4 linked regions of the Macaca mulatta genome follow. The protein of the gene in region 4 interacts with the protein of the main gene of each other region in a pairwise test. Links are inferred from orthologs where the notes say so. Each region holds a gene or a part of one and is shown on either strand. Other genes may lie near its edges.

Region 1 (6,049 bases), on a different chromosome or scaffold from region 4:
TGAGAGGTATTTAAGTTCCTTATTGTTACTATGACTCAAAACAGGAAATGGTTACAATGTGGCCCATTTTTATAAACCTCATTTAAATAAATAACTCATCTGATTTATAAAAAGGCCTGCCTTGGATTTATCACCTATAATCACTGGAAATTTCCAAGGTTTATATTTCTTATTTTGAGATATCAAGATACTGAATTTTTTTTTAAAAGGTCCAATTTAGAAAACAAAGACTGTACACAAATAAAACAAATAAAGAGAGCTGTTTATTTACTTATTTTTTTGAGACGGAGTCTTGCACTGTCCCTGGGCTGGAGTGCAATGGTGCAATCTCGGCTGATTGCAACCTCCACCTCCAAGGTTAAAGCGATTCTCCTGCCTCAGCTTCCCCAGTAGCTGGGATTACAGGGGCCCGCCACCACACCCGGCTAATGTATTTGTATTTTTAGTAGAGACGGGGTTTCACTATGCTGGCCAGGCTGGTCTCGAACTCCTGACCTCATCATCTGCCCGCCTTGGCCTCCCAAAGCACTGGGATTACAGGCATGAGCCACCACACCCTGCCGGACAGCTGTTTTTTAAACATGAAAAGGGAAGCTCTATTTTATTATAGAAATTGTGGTGGAAGAAGTCAATGGAACAGGAAACAAGCCCAAGTTTACAGTATTTGTCAAATTTTAAAAACAATTTTTACTATGTATTTTTCAGATTATTTTTTCCAAATATCTAGGATAATCTGTTTTGCCCCTTGGTTCTTAAAAACCAAGTAGCCACCAATAAAAAGTCAGCAAACACTACATGCAAACACCATAATGGTGATAAGAAATTAATATATTCATGCCTTAAAGAGAGAGAGGTTAAAGAAAAAAAAAAAAAAGGGAAGGCTTTGAAAATTTTCAAGTAAATTTACTAATACTTCTGATAATTTAACACCAAAAAAACCCCAAACAAATCCTAAACAATTTGTTTAACAGAAACATCATGCAGGCAGGGTTTTTTTCCCCCTTTCTTTGGTTCATTCAACCTCTTTGACACAAATATGCCTTCACTGCAAGCCAGGCAAAACCAAAAAGGCAACCCGTTTTCTGCATGCTGGTCAAATACCTGTACTCTGCGTTTACGAAACGATGACAACATGATGGAGGAATGTGGAGTCTAAAGAGGGAGGGGGAAGAGCAAGATAAGCTTCTAAGGGCAAATGGAACAAAATTATGAAGAAAACAGATATTTAAAAACATACGAATACAGATTAAAAATCCAACTTCAGATATTTTCTCAGTGTCTTCTCTCTGACATTCTGTATAGCGTCTAAATCCCACAAGGGATTTAAAATGTGGAAAGAAAACCAAGGTTCCCAGGTCTTGGCAGTTACTATCTGGATATGCTGCACTGGTCAAGTCTCACTCTCTTTTGGGTCTCAATTTCCCCACTTGTCAAAGTAATAATACTGAATATACTTTTTCAAACTAAACACGCCCTCCTCCTGAGGATCCCAGGACAAGATGATTCCTAAATCCCCTTCCATTCAGCAATAAAAGAGCACGACTGCATGAAATTATCACAAAGTAGAACTCAAGCCACAAAGATCTGACTTGGGCCTAGCTTGCCAGTACACTTACTTCACAAAATACTATTTCCTGTTCAAAATTGGTACAAGAGGAATATGCAAAAAAGGTGGAAGAGAGGTGATGGTTCACAGCACAGCTGCTCCAGTCAAGTGGCCCCAAGTGATGAACTATGCGGTCCTCCTCCTCCTCCGCATTCCTGGAGTCAGCATTTGCCACTAGGGCGTTGCATTCTACAGTACAGCCGCAGCTGATAATGCTGCAACAGACCTGAGTGCCTAACTAGCGGGATCCTTGCATAGCCCACGGAGGACTGATTACAAAGGCAGGCCAGCCTTGAACACATTATCCATTCTTAGTGTAGATTCCGCAGTGACAGGACATGGGGGACTATTCCTGAGATCCACTTTTCAGGATGTGCAGTTGACCCCCCACTTTGGATGAAGGCAGGTAAGAAAAAAGCAGAAAAAACTTTAACCCAGGGAACCAAAAGACATACTTAAAACGGCTCTCCCCATGTCCACCTCTTCATCAGATTGCTTGACAGGCTTACACTGTAGCCTATGACATATCCAATTTCTCCAATTATTAGATGGCTACAAAATACACTGCCAAGACCAAAGCGTATCAGAGAATCAGTTACTAGGCTGATGGTTTGCCATAAGAACTGCTTCACACTTGTCCAGGATGAAGCAAATCCTCCTTTCCAGTTTCTCCATCTAGGTCCCTGGATACCAGTTAACACACTTTGAGGCTCCCTTTGAGTAATTATTGGCCCAGTTACTGAAAAAGGTTTATTGCTAATTTCCTGCACAGAGGCCCTTACTGCAGCACTTCTTTCTCCCCGTAGCACATATTAAACTTTGACTTCAATTTGACCTTTCAAAATCTAAGACATTAGCTAGCTGCAATGAAAGGGAAAATAAATGACTAGTTAAGGAGTCGGAACCTTGGCTCAATGGCTTCATATAGCTGAGTGTTCCTGCTGCTATTCCCCAGATTTTCTGTTTCCTGGCTCCAAGACACCCCCACCCTTCCATCTTTGATACATTCTGTTTTACTTAAGGCCAATTGCTATGACGACGCAATTTCTCAACACATTATGAAAATACTTCTGTTATTCCCGAACAGCCATGATGGTTAAGTTTTTCTAAAATACCATGATGAAGACAGAACAAAGGGCTTAAATATTTTAGGATCTATTATATAAAAGAGATCTGATTAGATGTTGTAACAGTTCAATCATCATCTCAACCCAGCCTTCTGAGCTATTCAGGCTTTTCATTTAAAACATATTCAACTCTTAACTTTAACAAGGCGCTTGTTTAAAATATATTTTACTCCAGTACATGAAAGAGACTTTTTAAAGCGATGTTCTATGGGAAGCGTCTAATCAAATTCTCAGGGATAGCTTTCAAACAAAAGACTGTTCTATCATTCAACACTGGTATGGTAGAATTTTGGACACTGTATCTCGACTCGAAAGACCCAGTTCCAGGAAACACACACGCACACACACACACACACACACACGAACTCCAAGCTATTAAGTTATTTGATTTGACCCTCATACCATACAAGCACCGCATCTACCTATTATTTACAAGCAAATCACAACTGGGAAGAAAGAAAAATGTTTATTACAAGGAAAGAAAAGGAGACGGCCAGTCTCAGACCCTTCTGCGTTCAAAGAGACGGCAGAGATTCGCCAGGCAGGATGAAATTAAGGTCAGAGAGCCGTTTACGCTACGCTCGGGCTCCCCGAGCTCTTCCTCCCTCCACGGCTGGCCGGCATTGCTGGTGCCATTCGGAAGAACGAGCTGCAGAAGTCGCTCCCGGCCGAGGGAAGGGACCGGGGGCGGTGCGGGGAGCGTTCTGCAGGGAGGCGGCTGGCGAAGATCCCGACGAGGGAGCCCCCACCCACCTGCCGCAGCCGGATGGGGCAGGGCAGGGCCGCGCCGCAGCCAGGCTTGGGGGTGGAGGGGAGGGACCCGGCGGCCTCGCGCCCCCTCCCCCCAGTCAGTGACATTCCAGCGGCGGCGCCGAACGTCCGCCCGGCTGCTCCTCCGCAGCCCACGCGCCACAAAAGAGGCGGCAGAGGCTCCCCCGGCACCTCAGCCGAATGGAGGCAGCGCCGCGGCCCGCCCGACTCACCTGTCCGCGCGCCGGCCCCGCCCCGCCTTAAGGGCTGCCCAGCTCCCGCCCGGGGGTCGGCTGCCCGGGGCCCCGCTCCCTCCCGGAGCTCCCCGACTGCCCCTCTCACCGGCTCTCGTGGGGTGAGGGGCGTGGGTGCGTCGGGCCGAGGGGGTGCTGCAGGACCGAGGAGCCTCCGCGGCCTCCGCTCCGCGCCGTTCACTCCGCAGCGGGTAGTGGCGGCGACGCGCGCGCCCAGCCTTTTTTATAGGCAGCTACGCGCGCTCCCGCGGCGGGCGGGCGCGAGCGCAAGGGGAAGCGCCCCGGCGCTGCGCGGGGGGCGGGGGAGCGCGCCGGCGGAGCAAAGGGGGCGGTGCTCCCGCCGGCTCACCGCCCGGCCGCCCGGCGGAAAGGGCCGAGCGATCCCGGAAGGAGCCGAAGCGGCGATGCGGGGGAAGAGGTGAGCGAGGGGCGGGCCGCGGGAGGATGGGGAAATGGGGCGCGCGCAAGGGGTGAGGGGTGATGGTGCAGTGAGGTCACTGACTACGCCCTGGCCGACAGAGACGCTCCCGCCTCACCTCCCTCCGCGCAACTTGCGCCCCGCCACCGCCCGCCCTGCGGACAGTCGTCTGCACTGCACCCCTCCGCCCTGGGAGCTCTTCCAGGACTGCGGAGAAGGGCGGGGCAGGGGGTATCGCTGCAGTCTGGCTGGGATGCTGCGCGCCCCGGGCGGAAAAACGCCCAGTCCCAAAGGGTGAGATCACCCGAGTGCGTCTCTTCTTCCTGCTCACTTTCCCGAGGAGGAGGCTGGCGCTGGGGACCCTAGTCACCCTACTTCGGTGGGGGCTGGGGTCAAGAAGACGCAGATGATTTGGGGCCCCGGGTTTGAAGAGGCGGTGAGAGGAAAAGGCCAAATCTGAATCAGAAAAAAAATTAAGTCGACTAATTTGCGGCATAAAGCTGTTATTCTGGAATTTGGAGAGTTAATTTCTTACATTCTTGGATATTATGGGGGAGGGAAACGGCAGCGGCAAAATAATAATTTCTTATATTCCTGCAGCAAAAGCATTCTCACAGGTCGCCAGTAGAATAGGGCATATTCATCCTATTTCATAAACAAGACATTAAGGTTGCAAATGGAAGGTTCTGACTGCTGAGATGGAAATCCTAGCCCTTCAATTGCTAGCTGCCTGACCTGGGCCAAGAGACATAGCCTACATGAGCATTATGTAAGAGTGCCCATTTGTAAAATAGGAAAATATCTCATCAAATTATTGCAAAGATTAAGAAATGAAAAGGTAACACGAAATACTTCGCATAGTGCCTAGTACACAAGGAAAGTTCAATTAATTGTGCCAGAAAGAACCTTAATGAATAGGAAAGGGAGGCATTTTGATGCGGGTGGCTGCTGGGGTGCAGACAGAGAAAAATAAGATTCTCAGAATTTCTGATCCTTAAAGTCCTAGCAGTTTGAGGGCCTGGCTCTCAACTCTGTAGCCAGAAGCCCTGGATTAGGAAGCGCTTTCCCTATCCCCATTCCGGTGACAGCTGGGCCGCAGCCATCGGGAGTAACACCCAGATCATTCCTGTGCAGTCAGGCAGAAGGGAAGCTCTGCAGCTCAGGAAGGCTTCAGCCTCCTGGTTACTAAGCAGCTCTCCTCTTTAAATAAATACAAAGTCATTGGGCACTGCACCAGAACCTGGGCCCAGACCTGGCCCTGAGCTTCCTGGTCCTCTGCAGTTTGGCTTCTTTCCCCATGCGCGGGACCTGCAATACGGTTTCTAAGCTGCCCTGGCTGTAGCCATGATACTGAGGAAAAATTTCCCTACCCACTCACTCCATTGGAGTGGTGAGAAAAGGAGTGGCCACACCCCAGAAGCTGCTTTAGAGAATCTGTGTAGGAAAAACGTAGGAGCTGAGAGGCATTTCCTGCAATCTTCTATGTAGAGAAAGCTGGGCTGGGCAGCTCCTCCCTGGGGTTTGCATTTCTGGGAACAGCTGATGGTATCCGTGGCCTCTTCTCCAGCAGGTTGCAGTAAAATGTTTAATCAGGTATTCAGCTCTGGGTACAAAATGGCTTACACAATTGTAGCTCCCTAAAATTTCCAAGAGCTTCTGCTCCAGCAAAGAAAGCACCTCGGGACTGAGGGGCAGGAGCTATTAAAAAGGGAGGGTTTTTCTATTAAATCGCCCTGGCTCCATAGTGAACTGGGGGTTTTGCTGCTTTTGCTGGATGCAAAACGAATTGGAGACCTAAGAGAGAGCTCTGTATTGATAGAGAAACTAAAATCTTGTTTGATCCTTTGTCTGATCCGAGACATGGCCAAGAAACAGTATCCCCAGCACTCTCCAC
Region 2 (6,346 bases), on a different chromosome or scaffold from region 4:
CTCCCAAAGTGCTGGGATTACAGGCATGAGCCACTACGACTGGCCCATGAACTTTATTTTCTGAGACAGAGTCTCACTCTGTCACCCGAGCTAGGGTATAGTGGTGCGATCTTGGCTTACTGCAACCTCTGCCTCCCGGGTAGCTGGGATTACAGGCATGTGCCATCACACCAAGCTAATTTTTTGTACTTTTAGTAGAGACGGGGTTTCACCATGTTGGCCAGGCTGGTCTCCAACTCCTGACCTCAGGTGATCTGCCCACCTTGGCTTCCCAAAGTGCTGGGATTACGGGTGTGAGCCACCACGCCCGGCCCTGCTCCATGAACTTTAAAAGTATGTCATCTAATGAATTCTCCTCTGGGGCTTGGAAAATAATAATCTCCTTATGGTTTCTGTTTCTTGAAACTTAACTGGACGATACAACTTCTTTTAATACACTTTGTCATTTTAATCACAAGACTTTATTTACAAATGAAACCTTGTAATTTGACACATCAAAAGAATCTAAGTTACTGTCATTAAATTTTTGCGATCATGAAAACCAGGAGCATAAAATGTATAGTTCCAATCTCACTTGAGATATTTACCTCAACAGCCTCCAACTTTGCTCTTCACGTACAAGTACACTTAAGGTATTAGGAATAGTATAAGTGTTGCATAGTTGCCACCCAACAAAGCATTTAGAATTCCTCAAGGTCCAAGATTCTTTCTTCATAACCTCCTTCCAAAGTGAATGTTAACTTGCATATCTATAGCCAGGGTTAGTCGACTATTCTCCTGGACTTATCTCAAAATGAATACACTCCCTGTCTGTTTTACATAATAGAGTGTGCCTCTAATGGGGAAGGGAGGGAGGCCTGATTAGATTCTTGAAATTCACCTTCATAAATACCTTTTTTTTTTTTTTTTTTTTTTTAAAGACAAGAGTCTTGCTCTGTTGCCCAGGCCCACAGTGCAATGGGGTGACCTCAGGTCACTGCAACCTCTGCCTCCCAGGTTCAGCCACTCGAGTAGCTAGGATTACAGGCATGTGCCACCACGCCTGACTCATTTTTGTATTATTAGTAGAGACAGGGTTTCGCCATGTTGGCCAACTTGAGTCCAGGGCTGGTCTCGAACTCCTGGCCTCAAGTGATCTGTCCGCTCCAGCCTCTTAAAGTGCTGGCATTGTAGACATGAGCCACCACACCTGGCCTACAAGTAAGTTTTAAGCAACATTAAATCAATTCCCTAAGCATTTGAGCTCCAACTATCTCCAAGACACTGATAATCTAGGAGGGAAGAGAGATTCCTGTACAATCACAGAGATAATGTAGAAGAACAAAGCTTTGGGGCAAGTTTGTCCTGCCTAGGAATTCAGTGGAGGCATTTTTTATTTCAAACAACACTGCAGGTAAATCCAGATGTGGACCAGTAGTGACGGATACTTTCTAACAAAACAGGACCTACAAAAAAGAGAATCTAAGAGGATCTACAGTGATGGGTTTAATCAACAAAAAGCTCATGAAGTTAGAGCTTAAATGAACCAGCTGAATTTCTGCTAAGACAGCATTACATGTCCCAGGCCACAAAATCTATTTCCTCTAACATGACAATAGCTAACATTTATTGGGCACTCACCATGTTTCAAGAGCTGTTTAACTGTGATATGCATGAAACTCCTGTAACTCTACCATAACAATCCTATGACATTAGTACTTTTCCCCATTTTATAGATGAGAAAACAGGCAGAGGTTTATTTTTCCAGGGTTGTACAGATACTGCTGAGTGCTACAGCTAAGATTTAAACCAAAGCAGTGTGGTTACAGGGACCATGATCTTTATCATTAGGTGAGACTTCCTAAGACATTTTGTGGTTACAGATGAAAGCCCTGGACATGCCCACTTTGGCTGTACAGGATGCATCCTTCAGAGTGGTGCTCTGTGCCACATTCCCCTATGTGCCACCAACAGTAATAAAATATAATAAAAACAATCACATAAGAAACACAGCACAGACAGAAGCAGACCTCTGCCCAGGTAACTTCCACTACAATTACCTTACCACAGACCTCTTTCTCATTTTGCTAAGATTAACAACTGATTTTTCAGTACTATGCCGACAACATTGCTTCTTCTCAAGCTTTGTTGTCAAATCCATTGAGTCCCACAGTTTAATTTTTAACCAATGTTGATTCACTGAGCTAGTAATTTTAATTCGGTAACAGGTAAATTACTCCATAGTTACATGTGAATAACTGCCTGGTTAAATCAGGGTGGGTTTCTTAGAGGTGATAATACTTACCGTTAAGCACAACTTTAGTCTTTAATTATTGTGTATGTTCCCATTTCACTCCAAACACATCAGTCCCCCTCCATACAGTATTTACTTCTTTGGTCCTAGGGACAACAAGAAACGTTTTATAATAAAAGAGGACATGCTAATGTGTTTACTAGATATGACACTGCTGTGCAAAACTGTTTTCTTTTAAGGCTGCACAGAAAACATGCTAACTTTACTGAATTCTTATTAAGTGTCCTAACTAACAGAAATAGAAACTAGGTCTGGCCTGAAAACACCATTCACTTAAGTCAGAATCTACGTGCGCTCCTCTAGGTCGGCTATTGTAGTATCATTGCAAAACAGTAACACTTTATCTCTGGACTTGTCTTTACTGGATTAATGTTAAATAGAAAAAAATCCGACTGCAGAGGGGAAAAAAACCTAAAACCTTAACATACATGCACATTAACAATGAATGAAACATGATTAAAGCTAACACATTAAGCAGAAAAATACAATCTCCAAACAAGCTCTGCGGCCCGCCTACTGAGATGCACCGGCCCCCCCACAAAACGAAAACGCGCCTCAAGCTCATACACATCCTTGTCTTAAGACGGTTATGCACTCGATGTACTACAAATTGTTTCCACGGAAATTATTCCCCGAAAGTTTGCTGCTAAACTCAGGACCCTAAGGACGTTTGCTTAGGGAATCCGTGTCCCTCGAGAACACCTAAGATGGGTATGCGTTTGTGCATTTAAAAATGCCTCAAGGAACTATTGCCGAGGAACAGAAAGCATCGCCGGCGCTTTGCGTTCGCGGACCACTTGGAGACAGATGCCAGTACAGCAATTCCGTTCCAGGAGGCTTCGACTTAAGAGGGCAGGGGAGGAGGAGAACGCTCGGGAAATAGGAAAACAAAGATTTTTTTTTTCCACTCCAGTGACAGCAAAGCCTTAAAAACATAAGCAGCTCTCATACCCACCCGCCTCACCAGCCGCGCCTCGCAGTTCAACAAAACGCGTCCTCGCCCTCGCCACTCGCGACCTCTATCGCGCAGCGCCAGGCAATGAGGGAAAACAGCCAGCGAGGCCCGCCCTCCGGTGCAAGGCTCGGCGTCCGCGGAGGCCCAGGGCCGTCCCCAGTACGGCGGGCAGAAGAGAGCGCGGCGGCGGAGCCCAGCTTCGGGCGGCGGACTGCGGGACGCGCGAGCCGGCGGGGCCCGAGGCCCGGGTTCCGGGGCCGCCCGCGACTGCGTTCTCGCCGCAGAACAAAAGCGCTCCGCGCCGCGCGCCGCGCGCCGGCCCCGGCCGTGAGCGCCTCTGGCTCCCGGCCCCCGCCCCGCCCGCACCCCGGAAGGCGAAGGAGGGACCTCGGGGTGCTCGCCTCACACTTACCGACAAGGGAAAAGGACCACCCCAGCAAGCAGGGGTAAAGCCGGCGGCCTCCCGGGCCCCAGAGTTTAAGTCAAGTGGGGTCCGCCTCCAGGGGCGGGTCGAGGAGCCAGGCCCAGGATCCAGGAACAGCTAGGCTCCGCCTCACGCCCGAGGCGGTGTCTACGAGGGCCGCGCCGCCGCGGTCCTAGTGCCACCCGAGAAGCCGCGGAACTGGCCAGCGGATCGCACCAGGGCTTGCAGAGCGCTTTCATCTGCCCGACGCGGAAATCTCCCGCAGCGATCTTCTACCTTTAACCAGCATCCGCAGCACCCAGAGGGCATGTTAAAGAGAGATTGAGAACCGCCAGCAAAACTACTGATTCAGTAGGTTTGGGGTGGGGGCTGAAAATGTGCATTTCTAACAAGTTCCTGAGACCCACTGTTGTTGCTGGCCTCAGGACCAATTTTTTCTATAAAGCGCATGGGAGTCAGAGTGCACCCAAGAGACTGTTAACCCTTAAAAAAAAGAAAATCAACAGCTTAGAGGCAAATAAGTGTGAAAGACAGTGGATAATCTATTTGGGGCTTCTGAAAGTCCCTGAGGAAAGTTGACTTTGGAGACCAGATCATGAAGCACGACCTCTTAATTGCCAACCTTTTGTTATAGATTAACTCCCTTATTTTCTTGTTCCCAGCTCAGACCAGATGGCATCTGAGATAAAATACGCCTTGAATAAGATAAATGACCCCTTGACTATTACATCCTTAATGTGGAATGTTAAATAGACCCTTCCCAAAAAGAAACACTGCCTAGAACCAATTAAATTGCTATACGTTAACCTTCTATGGAAAATGTTGACATCCTGTTAAGCTTCCCAGACCCTGCCTGTATAAACGACCCTCAGACTTCTCGCTTTCGAAGCACTGACCCCCATCTTTTGGAGTCTGTGGCCTATCAGGTCGCCATCCTCAAAATTTGCACTCAAACCAATATTTAATCATATTGCTCGAATCTCATTATTAAGGTTTACATAAGCGTTTACTTAGTAATGAAGGTTGCAACCAGGATAGCAAATCAGAGATTGTGCCACTGGAGAGGAGCAAGGGAGCTTATGTTTATAGGAATTTATTTGTTACATAAATTGTCAGATTATTTCATTGGTGGATTAAACGAAGAAGTCTTTAATCATTAGTAGAAGGGTGCATTTGCGTCTGTCAGAAACAAAACAAAAAAAACTATATACAGAATATTTTGTGTGTGTGTGTGTGTGTGTGACAGAGTCTCGCTCTGTCGCTCAGGCTGGAGTGCAGTGGCACAGTCTCGGCTCACTGCAAGCTCCGCCTCCCGGGTTGACGCCATTCTCCTGCCTCAGCCTCCCCAGTAGCTGGGACTACAGTAGCCCACCACCACGGCCAGCTAAATTTTTGTATTTTAGTAGAGACGGGGTTTCACCGTGTTAGCCAGGATGGTCTCATCCCTGACCTGGTGATCAGCCCGCCTCAGCCTTCCAAAGTGCTGGGATTACAGGCGTGAGCCACCGTGCCTGGCCAGAATATTCTTTTTTTTTTTTTTGAGAGGGAGTTTCGCTCTGTCACCCAGGCTGGAGTGCAGTGGCCGGATCTCAGCTCACTGCAAGCTCCGCCTCCCGGGTTTATGCCATTCTCCTGCCTCAGCCTCCCCAGTAGCTGGGACAGGTGCCCGCCACCTCGCCCGGCTAGTTTTTTGGTATTTTTTTTAGTAGAGACGGGGTTTCACCGTATTAGCCAGGATAGTCTCGATCTCCTGACCTCGTGATCCGCCCGTCTCGGCCTCCCAAAGTGCTGGGATTACAGGCTTGAGCCACCGCGCCCGGCCCAGAATATTCTTAAAGATTGGGGGTGGCCAGGCGCCGTGGCTCAGGCCTGTAATCCCAGCACTTTGTATCCCGTGCCTCCGTGTGAAGAGACCACCAAACAGGCTTTGTGTGAGCAACAAAGCTGTTTATTTCACCTGGATGCAGGTGGGCGGAGTTAGAAAACAGTCAGCAAAGGGTGGTGGGATTATCTTTAGTTCTTATACCTTTTGAGATAGGCGGTGAAGTTGGGAGCAATGCTTTGCAGGCAGCGGGTGGATCTCACAAAGTACATTCTCAAGGATGGGGAGAATTACAAAGAACCTTCTTAAGGGTGGGGAAGATTACAAAGTACTTTGATCAGTTAGGGTGGGGCAGAAACAAATCACAATGGTGGAATGTCATCAGTTAAGGCTATTTTCACTTCTTTTGTGGATCTTCAGTTGCTTCAGGCCATCTGGATGTATACTGCAGGTCACAGGGGATATGATGGCTTAGCTAGGTCTCAGAGGCCTGACAATTTGGGAGGCTGAAGCGGGTGAATCACTTGAAACCAGGAGTTTGAGACCAACCTGGCCAACATAGTGAAACCCTGTCTCTACTAAAAATACAAAAATTAGCCAGATGTAGTGGTGGGCGCCTGTAATTCTCATCTACTCCGGAGGCTGAGGCGGGAGAATTGCTTAAACCTATGAAGCAGAGGTTGCAGTGGCCATGATGTTATGCCCAGACCGTTTGTTCCCCAAAGAAGACCACCAGAGTCCAGAGTCAAAGCCAAGCGGCAAGGATCTTTTACTGCAAGTTCGAACTTGGTCCCTCCATTCCACAGCATACAAGAGGGCCCCGAACAATGCGAGTGCTTGCCTTTTTATAGC
Region 3 (6,462 bases), on a different chromosome or scaffold from region 4:
AGAAAGAGAGGCTATTTACTATTCTTTTCTGGCCGTTAGACAAGAATAAGAACAAAAAAAATTAAAAAAAAAAACCTCATAAAGATTTTAGGTCTACATCATCATCCCACCAATAATTACAGACAAGAACGAAGCATTTTACCACTCCCTGATGAGTAACAAAGTAGCCAACAGTAGCCTTGGGGACTGAAGAAATTTTAAAATACATGGAAAGCCTGACTTGAGTTGATATTAATTACTATTATTACTGGATTCTATTGCTTAAATTGTTCTCTGTGGTAGGGTAAGGAGTCTTTACTTCCTGGCTCACTGGGCCAGTATTTTTTCCTTCCTGAAAAGTTTCATAGGAAACATACAATGTCCTGTGTCAGAAACACCAAAGTCTTCACAGGCTAATAGATTTCAAGTCACTAAAGACACTGAAATGTATGATATGCATTATCTAAAGGTACAATTAAAAGTATAGGGGCTATATTCCAGATCTCTGACATGAAACCGAGGAAACTGGGTTTCCAATTTGTGACGTGAAAAGATTAAGTAAAATACAAACTTATGTATAGGGAGATAATTCAGTTCTAACAATGCATGAAAGCCAGAGAGGTAGGTCAACAAATGCACATTTCTGAAATACAGGTTTTTCTGAGTATTTGTTCTGAAGTTCTTTGAAAATCTGGCCAGATAATTCCATTTTAAGATACCAGTTCACATAATAAGCAAGTCAGAACATTTGCAAGGCAAGATGTTGTTTTCCTTTCTGCAGCCAGGAAAAACACAGCTCTAAGCTTAGGTTGTAAAGGTAAAAGGATTTGGGAGCAGCTGATTTTAGCCAGTCATAAAAACATCTCCCCCTTATGCCAGGAGGTATAAAGAATATGCAGAGTCTGCATTGTGCTTCTACTGTCAGGACAAATCATTATGCTTTTTCTTTGAGATTAACTGATGCCAATGAATGAGTAAAGGGAGAAATAAATGTACAGACTGAGACCTGCAGCTTGGTGAGATGAGTAACACCTTTATCACAAAATCATGAGTTCTGTCTTCCACTTTGTAAATTCCTTGGGGTTAACTTATGTAATTTAAAAAATTTTTAGGAGTGAAATATGTATTACTAATCATATGTGAAGCTCTGCATTTTCTGCCATTTATAGTTTACATTGTGTGGGATCTTACAGATAACAGCATCTTTTAAAAATATATGTGCTTTTTCGGGGAATGGGAGCTAAATCAAGGGGTGAAAGGTAAGTGAAGGTGATACATTCCTTTAAATCAGTTAGGGAATGGTGAATACACTTGAATATATAAAATAACTACTGCTTCCTAGATACCTAGCTCTGTTCTAGCTGCCTCTTACCAGTTCTCATTTAATTCTCCAATCCCATATTAAGAGATGAAGAAACTGAGGCACAACATAAAGTAGGGTGCCAGGATTTGAACCTAGACAATTTGACTCTAACGTCTGTGCCCCTAATCATTCCCTTAAGTAGTCCTCAGGTTCTGTAATTATTATACCTGACTGCTTAAGGCTCAGGTAACTCCCTTCTGGCCACTTCTAAGCCATTACTGTCAGATGTTATTAATAGTAAAGAGACGATATCAATGTTTAAAACGGCCATTCAATAAGAGGACTGAAAACACTAGCCCCTGGAAATTCCCAACTTCCACGCGACTCAGAAGTTACACAACTCTTTCCCTAAACCCAGTGCTCCACCCAGTGTAGCTAACTTTGTCGTCGCGTAGCAACAGAACCTCGCCACACTGGAAGCGTGGCGGGGGGTCGGGGGGGTGGATTTTCTCGACTGGGGATGCTGCTGCCCGGTGGCCGGCAAAGGCCCTATCGGTCTCAAACATCTGAATTTTGCACCGACACAATCTCATGTAATGATTGTTCTGTTTCCTGTGTTGCGCCACAACAAACTTCCTTGGGCTACATTTTCCCTCAGATTTGAGTAAAAGATTTGAGGTCACGCTAAGAAGCCTGAATACTGAGGTACAGAAACGGTTGTTTACAAAAAAAAAAAAAAAAAAAACCTAGCGACGGGACCGCCGAGTTTGCGGCAGCCAAAAAAGCTAGCGATGAGCTCAGCTAAAGTGCCAGGACTCTCGGATAGATTTCTAACATGTTTCATTCTCAACAGGCTGGAACCCAACGCTGTTCTTGTGGTCTCTGCCTCTGGGGAGTCCACAAGCTGTAAATCTAACATGCAGCCAGCCGTGCGGCTTCTGGCCGCGCCACATCTGAGGAAAGCCTTTTCTGTGACGAGCGGGGAGAGGAGACTGACTGGAGCCAGAGAATGGAGGCGGCGGGCTGGCGGAGGCAGGGGGAGGCACTTTCAGGCGCACTTCACAGACGCACAAAAACAAGGAAGCCTGAAGGGAAGGCGGTTGAAAATAAGACAAGAGAAGCCGCCAACGGAAGCGCGCCCCCCTCAGGATCGGTTGGTCGTTCCAAAGCTCAGCTTCCCCCGCCCCGAAGACCTGCTGCGGATCACAGCCGCGCGCGCGCACTCCCGCTGCCCTCGGGCGCTGGGCAGGGAGAGCCGCGCGCACCGGTTAATTCTGCCAATCACGCGTTTAGGCCGCCTATCGTGTGGCCAAGCCCCGCCCCAACCGCCGGCTGGCGGAGGCGCGCGCGCAGTCCCGCCGCTCTGAGTCGCTGAGTGAAGCGGCGTCTCGCGCGTTAGTCAGTCTGGCCAATTGCGCGTCTTCTACGCCAGCCGCACGGCCCCGCCCCTGCCACAGGATCGATTTACGGCCGCAGCTGCGCGCGCTTTTTGCTCTCGCTGGGAATGGCGGAGGGAGGTACTCAGCTGAGGGGAAGGGGGTTACCTGAGACCTGGGCTTCCCCGGGAGTGTGCTGTGGAGTCGAGTTGAGCTCCTTTTCCGGGTCTGGGGAACTCAACCTCACCTCATCCATGGGGTCTTCGGGGATCTAGTGGGCTTTCTGCAATGGGGGGAAGGAGGGGACTACTCCCGCCCCTGGTTTGCCTCTCAAAAGTTGATGCCTTTGTCGGAGAAAGCAATTTCAGTCCACTCTCCTTTTCAGTGCCTATTCGCTGCTTAAACTAAAAGGGCGTAAATGCATCTCCGCTGTGTTTCTTATGCCTCGGGCCGGCAGGGTAACGGGTTCTAGTCACAGCTTGTAGAGTTCAGGATGGGTGACATTCAGGTCCTATTGTTTTTGAGTCAAAGTTTCGGCTATATCTTCTTGAATTATGAAGCTGTCATCATAAAGAATTCCTGATTAAAGCTGTTATTCCCTTCTTCCAAGGCAGAATTTGAATATATTTTGGTGGATGAAAAGAAAACAAGGAGAGTTGTGACTATGAGATACTAGCTGGTTGATGTGTCATGAAAATCTTAGTGGTCCCTTTGTGGGAAGGTAAATGGAAAACTGCAAAAAGAGCAATAATGAATTACAAAGTGAAATTAGAAGAAATATCTGGCTTACTTGTGGATGCTTTGTACACCAATAAAATATATTCTTTGATAAAAATCGACTATGGAGAGGTGTGGCTAATTTGATTCTCATTTAATAATTTTTCTTTTTTAGAGAAAAACCAAGATTTCACTTTCAAGATGGAAAGTTCGTCAGACTCAGCTGTGGTTTTACCTAGCACTCCTCAGGCCTCTGCGAATCCATCATCTCCCTATACAAATAGTTCACGAAAACAAGTATGAAAATCTTTGTCCTTCCAGTGGATCCATTGTGTGTTTCTAAGTATTGTGGCAGTGGTGGTTTAAATTCTACTGAAGGTTGTTAATTAACATAATGTGTAGCATAAATAAGTAGACATTTTATTAAACAATTTTATGTTTTTCTTCTAAGGTCACATATATGACACCCACCAGCCCCTTTCCATATTTTCCTCTTGAATCAATTCATTTCAGTTAGTTTCAGATTAATGGAGAAAGTTAGAATCTGTGCAATATTGTGAAGGTCTTTAGTGGCAGGGTCTAGGTCTTTTCCTTACTCTGTAATTCTGAAGCACCTGGAGTACCGTCAGGCATGTGCTTGTTACTGAACAAATGTTCCTTGATTACTGGGATAAACCTTTCAACACTTTTAGAAAGGTGTTGATCTTGCTGAAGTAAAAAGGAAATAGAACAAATGGAGCTTCCAGAAATTAAAGACATTTTGTGATGCCTTCTTTAGATGTGGAGACAGAAAGCCATCTAGTGGTGTCTAGCACAGAAATGTAAGGCCTTTATTTCTGGTGATTTATTGACATCAAGAATGTTTTTCTTGATTCACATTTTTAATGTTTTATGCTCTTTATAGCCTATGAGTGCAACACTTAGAGAAAGATTAAGGAAAACAAGATCTTCATTTAATTCCTGTTACAATGTGGTGAAACGTCTTAAAGTAGAGAGTGAAGAAAATGATCAGACCTTTTCAGACAAACCAGCATCTTCCACAGAGGAAAACTGTTTGGAATTTCAAGAAAGTTTTAAACACATAGATAGTGAATTTGAAGAAAATACAAATTTGAAAAATACTTTGAAGAATCTCAGTGTCTGTGAATCTCAGTCACTTCATTCTGGATCATGCAGTGCTCTCCAAAATGAGTTCATGAATGAGAATCTTCCTAAACAAAGATTAAACGATGAAAAAGCCAAATTGGTGAAGCAGGTTCAGGAGAAAGAAGACCTTCTTCGGAGGCTAAAACTAGTCAAAATGTATAGATCAAAGGTGAGAAGAATTTCGGGACCATTGTATCATTTTTATTTTTACATAAATTGCAGGAAAGTAATTTCAAAAATAGAAAATAAGGTGTGTGTTTGTTTTTTTATCATAATAAGCAATAAGCCAAATATTCAGAAACCTGGCTTCCAACAACTTTAATTCAACTCCAGATTTAGAGTAGAAAAGGCCCTTAAACACCAGGTAAAACTTTTTAAGAATCTCAGCTCTTATTTAATATGCAGTTAAACTTTTCTTTCTAGTTTCTAGCCCACAGCAATATTAGAAGTATTAAATGTTAGATGCAAGTACGACGGGAACAGAAGTGAAAGCTGACAGTCAATTAGTAAAACTAAAAATGGGCTGTAGAGTACAATAAAAGGTATTTTATTTATGATCTTGTGTCTCCCCCAAATAATTAATGTGATTCAGCCATATTATTTGAGAAAAAAACAAATATATATTAGATTTTAGATTTCAACTCATATAGGTTGAATTAAATAGAACTTGAGTACATGGAAGGAGATAACCTTTATTACCTGGAAAATTCATATATATGCAATAGCTCATTTTCCCCCAACTATGTGGAATAAATGATGAGATAGCATATCTCATTTGTTCTCGTGAAATTTTAGGGTTTTTTAAAAATAAAATTTAGGAGTATTGAATGTATTTTAAAATTTAGGAGTAAAAAGTGTATTTTATTTATTCATTCTCTTTTTAGAGACATGGTCTCTGTTACCCAGCCTGGAGTACAGTGGTACAGTCCTAACTTATTGCAGCCTTGAACTCCTGGGCTCAAGTGATCCTCCCACCTCAGCCTCCCTAGTAACTGGGACTACAGGCATGTGCCATCACACCTGGCTAATTTTTTTAAATTATTTTTTTGTAGAGATAGTCTTGTTATTTTGCACAGTCTAGTCTTGAACTCCTAGGCTCAAGCAGTCTTCCCACCTTGGCCTTCCAAAGTACTGGGATCACAGGTGTGAGCCACCATGCCTAGCCTAAAAAAATATTTTTAACTAGAATTTTGTAATTTTAAAGAGCAGTTTTAGGTTCATAGCAAAATTTAGTGCAAAGTACAGTATAGTGTCATTTTTAAAAAGGTACAGTTGTAATAGAGTAGATTTTTCCCTGTATTACTGCTTCTTGACATAGTTTTGGCCCAATTTAATGATTTGATTTTTCCCTTATCATAAGGATGGTCCAGAGCGTGAGCCAACAAAATAGCCATTGAACTCAAGTTGAATGACATTGTAACCATTCTACATATGACCATCCTACTTTTTCCTAGATAGAAGTCCCATTCATCCCAGTGTATGTTAGCCTTTAAACCTGCACATCCACTAATTTAACAACTTTAATTAAGTTGAACTAGCATGACTAGTTATTGACATACATACATGGTTTTTTTTTTTTTCTGTTTCAGAATGATCTGTCTCAGTTACAGTTGTTAATAAAGAAGTGGAGAAGTTGTAGCCAGCTGTTGCTTTATGAGTTGCAGTCAGCTGTGTCTGAAGAGAACAAGAAACTGAGCCTTACTCAATTGATAGACCACTATGGGTTAGATGATAAATTGCTGCACTATAACAGAAGTGAAGAAGAATTTATAGATGTTTAATTCCTGATTTTTGCTCCAGAATATCTTTGAGAATGACAACTTAATTAAAAGATATTTAGACACTTTTTTTTTTTTTTTGGAGACTGAGTCTCGCTCTTGTCACCCAGGCTGGAGTGCGATGGCGTGATCTCAACTCACTGCAACCTCCACGTCCCAGGTT
Region 4 (5,812 bases):
CCAAGATAATAATAAGACCTTCCTCATAATGCTGTGAGAATTAAATAAGAAATGTACATAAAGTGCTTAGAACTGTGTTTGACACAAGTAAGCACTCATGACATTTTAGCTATTATCTCATACACTCCAATATGCAACACAGATATGGATATGCACAATTATGTATAGAACTAAGACTAGTGATTATATAAAATATAATGCTTTAATTTCATTTCCTATAAAATTTAAAATTTTCTTTATCTAAAATTGTTGATGCAAAACATTGCTTGATGCCTTGGAGGACAGCAAAATGAGTCAGACCCATTATCTGCAATCATGTGATTTACAGTGTAACAGTGGAGACTAATATGTAGACAACTATCAAGACACAATGTGATACACATATTGACATAATGGCTTAATTGAAGCTCACTCTTTATCAGCACAGTACAAAGCACTTTATGAATATATTAGAGTACTAAGTCTCACGATGACCTGGTGAGGGTGGGTATTATGATCATCTTCCCTATTTGACAGCTGAGGGAATGTATTCTTCCAAGGTTTTTTCATGTAAACCCTAAATCTCATAAATCCTAAATTCCTGTCAACTTGAGACCAATCACTATTCCCTAAGCAGTATTATGCTTTTTATTTTTCGTCGTTTAGCTCATATTATTTCTTTCTAGAATGCTACTCCCTGTATCCCCATTTTGCCTGTTAAAATACATCTGACTTTCAGAGGTTAAAACAAACAATGCAATATCCCTTAGGAAGTCTTCCATGATGGTGAAATCAGAATTACTCTCACTCATATCTGGGCCTTTCAATATGGTTTACAAAGAATAATGGCCTAATTTGGTCTTTAAATTTAGCTCTACTACCCATTAGTTATGGGAGCTTGGTCCTATTACTCCAACTCTCTAAGCCTCTAAGCTCATTTTCTTTCTTGTTTTTTTTTTTTTTTTTTGAGACATGGCCTCACTCTGTTGCCTAGGCTGGAGTGCAGTGATATGATCATAGTTCACTGGAGCCTCAATCTCCTGGGCTCAAGTGATCCTCCTGCCTCAGCTTCCCAAGTAGTTGGGACTACAGGCACATGACACCATGCCCAGCTAATTGTTTTAATTTTTAGTAGAGACAAGGTCTTGCTATGTTGCCCAATACAGTGGCTACTATACAAGAGAGGTATCACTTCCACTTTTCGAAATAAGGGAACTAAGGCTCACAGAGGTTAAGTAACTTCCCAAAGTCACGCAGCTTAATCTGGAGCCAGATTATGAACCCATTTCTAATTCCAAGCACTCAACCAACCAACCAACCAACCAACCAACCAACCAAAGAAAAACAAACTTAATGCTTCACCATAATAAAGTAGAAATACGAAATAAGCAGAAATAGCCATATATTCTTATATAAGTAGTATTCCTTTCTTCCTCACAATTCATTAATCTGGTCTGTACTTTAATGGAACTCACGTCCTGCTCTAGATCTATAGCATTTCTAGAAAAATATTTAAAGAAAAGCAATATATATAAGGATCCTCAAGCCAGACGGTCAAAAGAACTCAGCATACCTGAAGTAAGTTCTCTTCTTCACATAAATGTTTATCAACCTTCTTGTAGAGGTTATCTAGACCTTTTTTTACTTCCTTTCCAGGGTACTCCTTAATGACTTTACGAAGTTCTTGCTTGTTAAATGCAAGTTGGTAACTTACTTCCTCCTCCCTTATGCCCTGTGCCACACGAGCTTCAACACCGTCAAAGAAATGCTTCAAGGAAATGAAAAGAAACAATGGCTAAGACCTGTTTTTATTATTACTTACATTTTAAAAAATCTGTTTACAAAGTAGTGTATAATCACCATGCAAAAATCAGTGTGTGAAAGTATAAACAATAAAATAACAATCACCTTATTCACATACTTCTGAGACGAGCATTGGTAACACTGTAGAGTTCCTTCTAATCTTTTGATGTGTGAATACATACATGAGATTATATTTCATACGTCACATTCTACATTTAATATTGTTTTTTGCTGAATATAAATTTTAATGGCTGCATAATATTTCATACTATGACTAAACCACAATTATTATTCATTCCTCTAGTACTAGATACTTATCCCACTCCCCCGTCTTTTTTTGGACTTGCCAGATCTAGTGGGACTTTAGAAAATTTACTATATTTGTCATAATTTTTTTTTGTATATAAGTATTTACCCACCTTACTGATTAAATTTCCAGAACTATAATTACTCTATTGAAGAGCGTAACTTTAAGTATTTGAAAGATTCTTCAGTATATATACAAACCCCTTGCCAGGAAAGCTCAATCAATTTATATTTCTGTCAACAGTGTATGAGGTTGCTACTTCACTATACTACCATAAGCATTATGACAATTTAAAACAATGGTTGTCAGAGTGAAGAAAGTTTGTCATTTTATTTTATAATTCTTTGCCTATAAATAAGGCTAACCTGCTTTCATATATTTAGTAGTGATTCAGGCCCCTTGCCCCATTTATAAATTGAGGTCTTAGTGCTTTTCTTATTGATTTTAATAAATCTTTTATATTAAATATACTGACTCTGTTATATTGTTATAAATATTATTCCCAGGTCTTCTTTTTTATATATATATATACTTTTATTGACTGGCATGCCTGTATTTGAGCACGATACAAAGAATTAATACTGACAAACCCCATTCCCTCTCATTACTTTTTTCTAAAATTTTCTTAGTGATTATTTATTCATTAAATTATCATTCTTTGACAAGTTATTCTTAGTGCTTTAAAACTTTTGTTGTTACATAAGCTCTTAATTGGTAGACAGGAAATACATTGTTTTTCAGTATATTTGCCTTGAATCCTGTCACTTAATCAACACCAGTAATTTCAACATATCATATACAGGCAGTGATAATCTTGTCTCTCTTCTCCATATCTCCTGTTTATGTTTCAGGTCTTGTTGAACTGGCTAGCACTTCAACAACAATGCTAAATAATAAATGATCTAACAATATTTCTGCTTTACATTGATTTCAGAGGGAATGTCTCTAACGTTGCAGTTAAGTATCATGTAAGCTTTAGGCCTGAGACAGATCTTTTATCCAATTAAAGGAATATTTGTCTGTTCTTAAGTTTTATAAGGAATTAGTTCTGCATTTGATTAAATGCCTTTCAAGTATTTCTCTGAATTGCTGATAGTAGATACATATTCTTTTTTTTTGAGACTGAGTCTTGCTCTGTAGCCCAGGCTGGAGTGCAGCGGCGTGATCTCGGCTTACTGTAATCACTGCCTCCCAGGTTCAAGTGATTCTCCTGCCTCAGCCTCCTGAGTAGCTGGGACTACAGGCGCACGCCACCACGCCCGGTTACTTTTTTAAAAATATTTTTAGTAGAGACGGAGTTTCACTGTGTTAGCCAGGATGGTCTCGATCTTCTGACCTCGTGATCTACCTGCCTTGGCCTCCCAAAGTGCTGGGATTGCAGGTATGAGTCACTGTGCTATTTTACTCTAACTTCAAGTTAAGAACTTATAAAAGATAACTAATTATATTGTAGACAAAGTTAGTTAAAAAGGTTCATTTAAGCTTTCACTATGTCGTAAAGTTCCCTAAAATCATCATTTCTTAACTTTAATTAACAGACTTGCTCTGGGAAATGACTCAAGTAAGGAAAGAAAAAGAAGGGAAAGAAAAGTAAAAGGCAATGTAGAAAGCAATTTTTGGTTTTTCTTTTATCTTGATAATATTTCTGAAATTTCCACCTAGACATTGCTAACTTGGTCATTTATAAAGTAAGAAATGGGAAAGAATAATGGCAAAGCCTAATCTAGGTTCATCCCCCAGCTTGTAATTTATAAGCTATTATAATGTTGGGCAAGTTTTTTTTACTTTCAGTTTCTTCATTTGTGAAATGGGGATAATATTATCTTAGCTTACACATCATTGTTTATAAGAATTAAAAGAAATAATGCATATGTAATAGAATAATATTAGCAAAATTATCATTAAAATATAATAGATAAATAATGTATAAAAATAATGTACAGAAAGAAGAAATAAAATATATAGCATCTAGCAGTGTCTGGCTCACTGGCAGCTTCAATAACTGACTCCCCTTTGCACCAACACATGAGAAAATTTAAGATAAATGTCTGCAGGTTATTCATATGCAAACTTATGTGTATAGGTTCAAAAGTAGGAAAAATACTGAATGAAAATATATTTACATTTAGTTTTTCAAGAGGTTGTCCTAAAGAGTAAATGACATAAGACTGAAGGTGATCTGTGTATTTTTGTTTGGCGTCTTTTTTTTCTGCTTCTAGACATGAGATTTTCAATCGAGAAAGAGTTGCAAAAATATGGTGAAAGTTTTCCATCATAACCACATCCCTGGGGGTCTTCTGGCTTTCATTTGCTACTTTCTCCACTAAAACCAAAACAGAAAAAATAAAATAACATCTCTGAGTATGACCGTATTTAGCCACAAACATTTATATGATTATTTTTTCATTTGTAAGTTTAAGAATTAAGCACATTTCTGGACTTAATAAAATATATTGTAATGGGAGTTTTCAGATCTACCTAATCATCATAAAAAGTTATCCTAAAACAGTCCCATGTGTACATGGAAATTCAGTATATAATAAAAGTAGCGTTTCAAATCAATGGAGAAATGATGAATTATTCAAAGTGTGTTAGGACAACCAGCTGGACCATTTTAATATATGAAATTTAGGTCCCTATTTTACATCTTGCAGCCAAATTCTGAATTGCTAAATTATTTAAAATGTAAAAAGCAAACAAATAAATTAATATAATCATAAGTACTAAAGAAAATATAGCTAATTGAAAAATAATAATTTTGTGATGGGGTGACCTTGCTGAGAATGGCCCAAAATTCAGAAGACTATTAAGGGGAAAGATGAATAAATTGGACATAAAATTTGAAAATTCATGTAAACACACCATACACAAAATCAATGAAATGCAAAATAAAATAGTGAGATAATTTATAGCCTATCAGGTTGACACAGAATAAAAAGATTGGTAATACCTAGTAATATCCAGCATTTGTACAGTTGTAATGCAACTGCTCATAGCACTAAACTGACATAAGCTTTCTGTATCACAATTTGGGAAAAGACTTGAGATACATAAACCCTTTGACCCAGTAATTCCATTTCTAGTAATTTACCCTAAAGAAATTATTTGACAAGTATACAAAGATATATAAACTAAAAAAACCCTAAATGTTTATTTTATTTTATTTTATTTTTTTCTGTGTTGAAAACTTTTTATTGTATGTACCAGAGAGTATAGAAGAACATGCATTAACTTATTTACTGAATCTTCATAGTGAGTGATGTGTGTGTGCATATGTAGTTATCTCATTATCTATTTTTTGAGCATGTATTATTAGAAGAGATATTTGAAACTCACAAGATGTTTCTCTTTATTTTGATTCTTGACAAATTTTGGAAAGTTCCAACTTAGACAATATGTTCAAAATAAAAATACATTGCAAATTTCCATGTTCTAAACTAATTACAACAAAAGTACAATTTAGGAGAATTGTGGGCAGGGGAAATTAAATGAATTATAAGATTCATTAAGCATAATTTGATCATTGACTCTTTATACTGCATTAGATTTTTACATTTTATTCTTTCTGATGTAGATCAATATGTCTTGATCGTGCGCGCGCGCGCGCGCGCGCGTGTGTGTGTATGATCGCCAATGGTTTTTGTCATTTTGGAATGTCATGTAAAAGGGAAATGACAGTACCAGACGAACTATTATATGTGTACACAACTTATTCACTGAATC

What was found.
Region 1: the proteins of EXOC1 (region 4) and SPTAN1 interact in a two-hybrid assay, tested with the Homo sapiens proteins (2 studies listed by BioGRID and IntAct). The link is inferred for Macaca mulatta from reciprocal best matches to the Homo sapiens genes EXOC1 and SPTAN1.
Region 2: the proteins of EXOC1 (region 4) and RESF1 interact in a two-hybrid assay, tested with the Homo sapiens proteins (2 studies listed by BioGRID and IntAct). The link is inferred for Macaca mulatta from reciprocal best matches to the Homo sapiens genes EXOC1 and RESF1.
Region 3: the proteins of EXOC1 (region 4) and SFR1 interact in a two-hybrid assay, tested with the Homo sapiens proteins (2 studies listed by BioGRID and IntAct). The link is inferred for Macaca mulatta from reciprocal best matches to the Homo sapiens genes EXOC1 and SFR1.

What each region holds. Positions count from the first base shown.
Region 1 is NC_133420.1:19,115,322-19,121,370, forward strand, and holds the start of SPTAN1 (spectrin alpha chain, non-erythrocytic 1), read right to left. Parts: upstream 3,329-6,049; 5' UTR 3,207-3,328; intron 1,801-3,206; coding exon of another isoform or gene 1,735-1,800; intron 1,153-1,734; 5' UTR 1,135-1,152; coding exon 1,102-1,134; intron 1-1,101. Other genes in the region: uncharacterized protein LOC114672723, read left to right, coding at 1,735-1,800, 3,329-4,155. UniProt on the Homo sapiens protein: Fodrin, which seems to be involved in secretion, interacts with calmodulin in a calcium-dependent manner and is thus candidate for the calcium-dependent movement of the cytoskeleton at the membrane.
Region 2 is NC_133416.1:34,169,039-34,175,384, reverse strand, and holds the start of RESF1 (retroelement silencing factor 1), read right to left. Parts: upstream 3,737-6,346; 5' UTR 3,699-3,736; coding exon of another isoform or gene 3,333-3,698; 5' UTR 3,249-3,332; intron 2,380-3,248; 5' UTR 2,285-2,379; intron 1-2,284. Other genes in the region: uncharacterized protein LOC144332817, read left to right, coding at 3,333-3,698. UniProt on the Homo sapiens protein: Plays a role in the regulation of imprinted gene expression, regulates repressive epigenetic modifications associated with SETDB1.
Region 3 is NC_133414.1:116,279,373-116,285,834, forward strand, and holds the start of SFR1 (swi5-dependent recombination DNA repair protein 1 homolog), read left to right. Parts: upstream 1-2,726; 5' UTR 2,727-2,786; coding exon 2,787-2,799; exon of another isoform or gene 2,800-2,884; intron 2,885-3,550; coding exon 3,551-3,672; intron 3,673-4,279; coding exon 4,280-4,690; intron 4,691-6,110; coding exon 6,111-6,302; 3' UTR 6,303-6,462. UniProt on the Homo sapiens protein: Component of the SWI5-SFR1 complex, a complex required for double-strand break repair via homologous recombination. Acts as a transcriptional modulator for ESR1.
Region 4 is NC_133410.1:77,569,488-77,575,299, forward strand, and holds part of EXOC1 (exocyst complex component 1), read right to left. Parts: intron 4,413-5,812; coding exon 4,213-4,412; intron 1,748-4,212; coding exon 1,553-1,747; intron 1-1,552.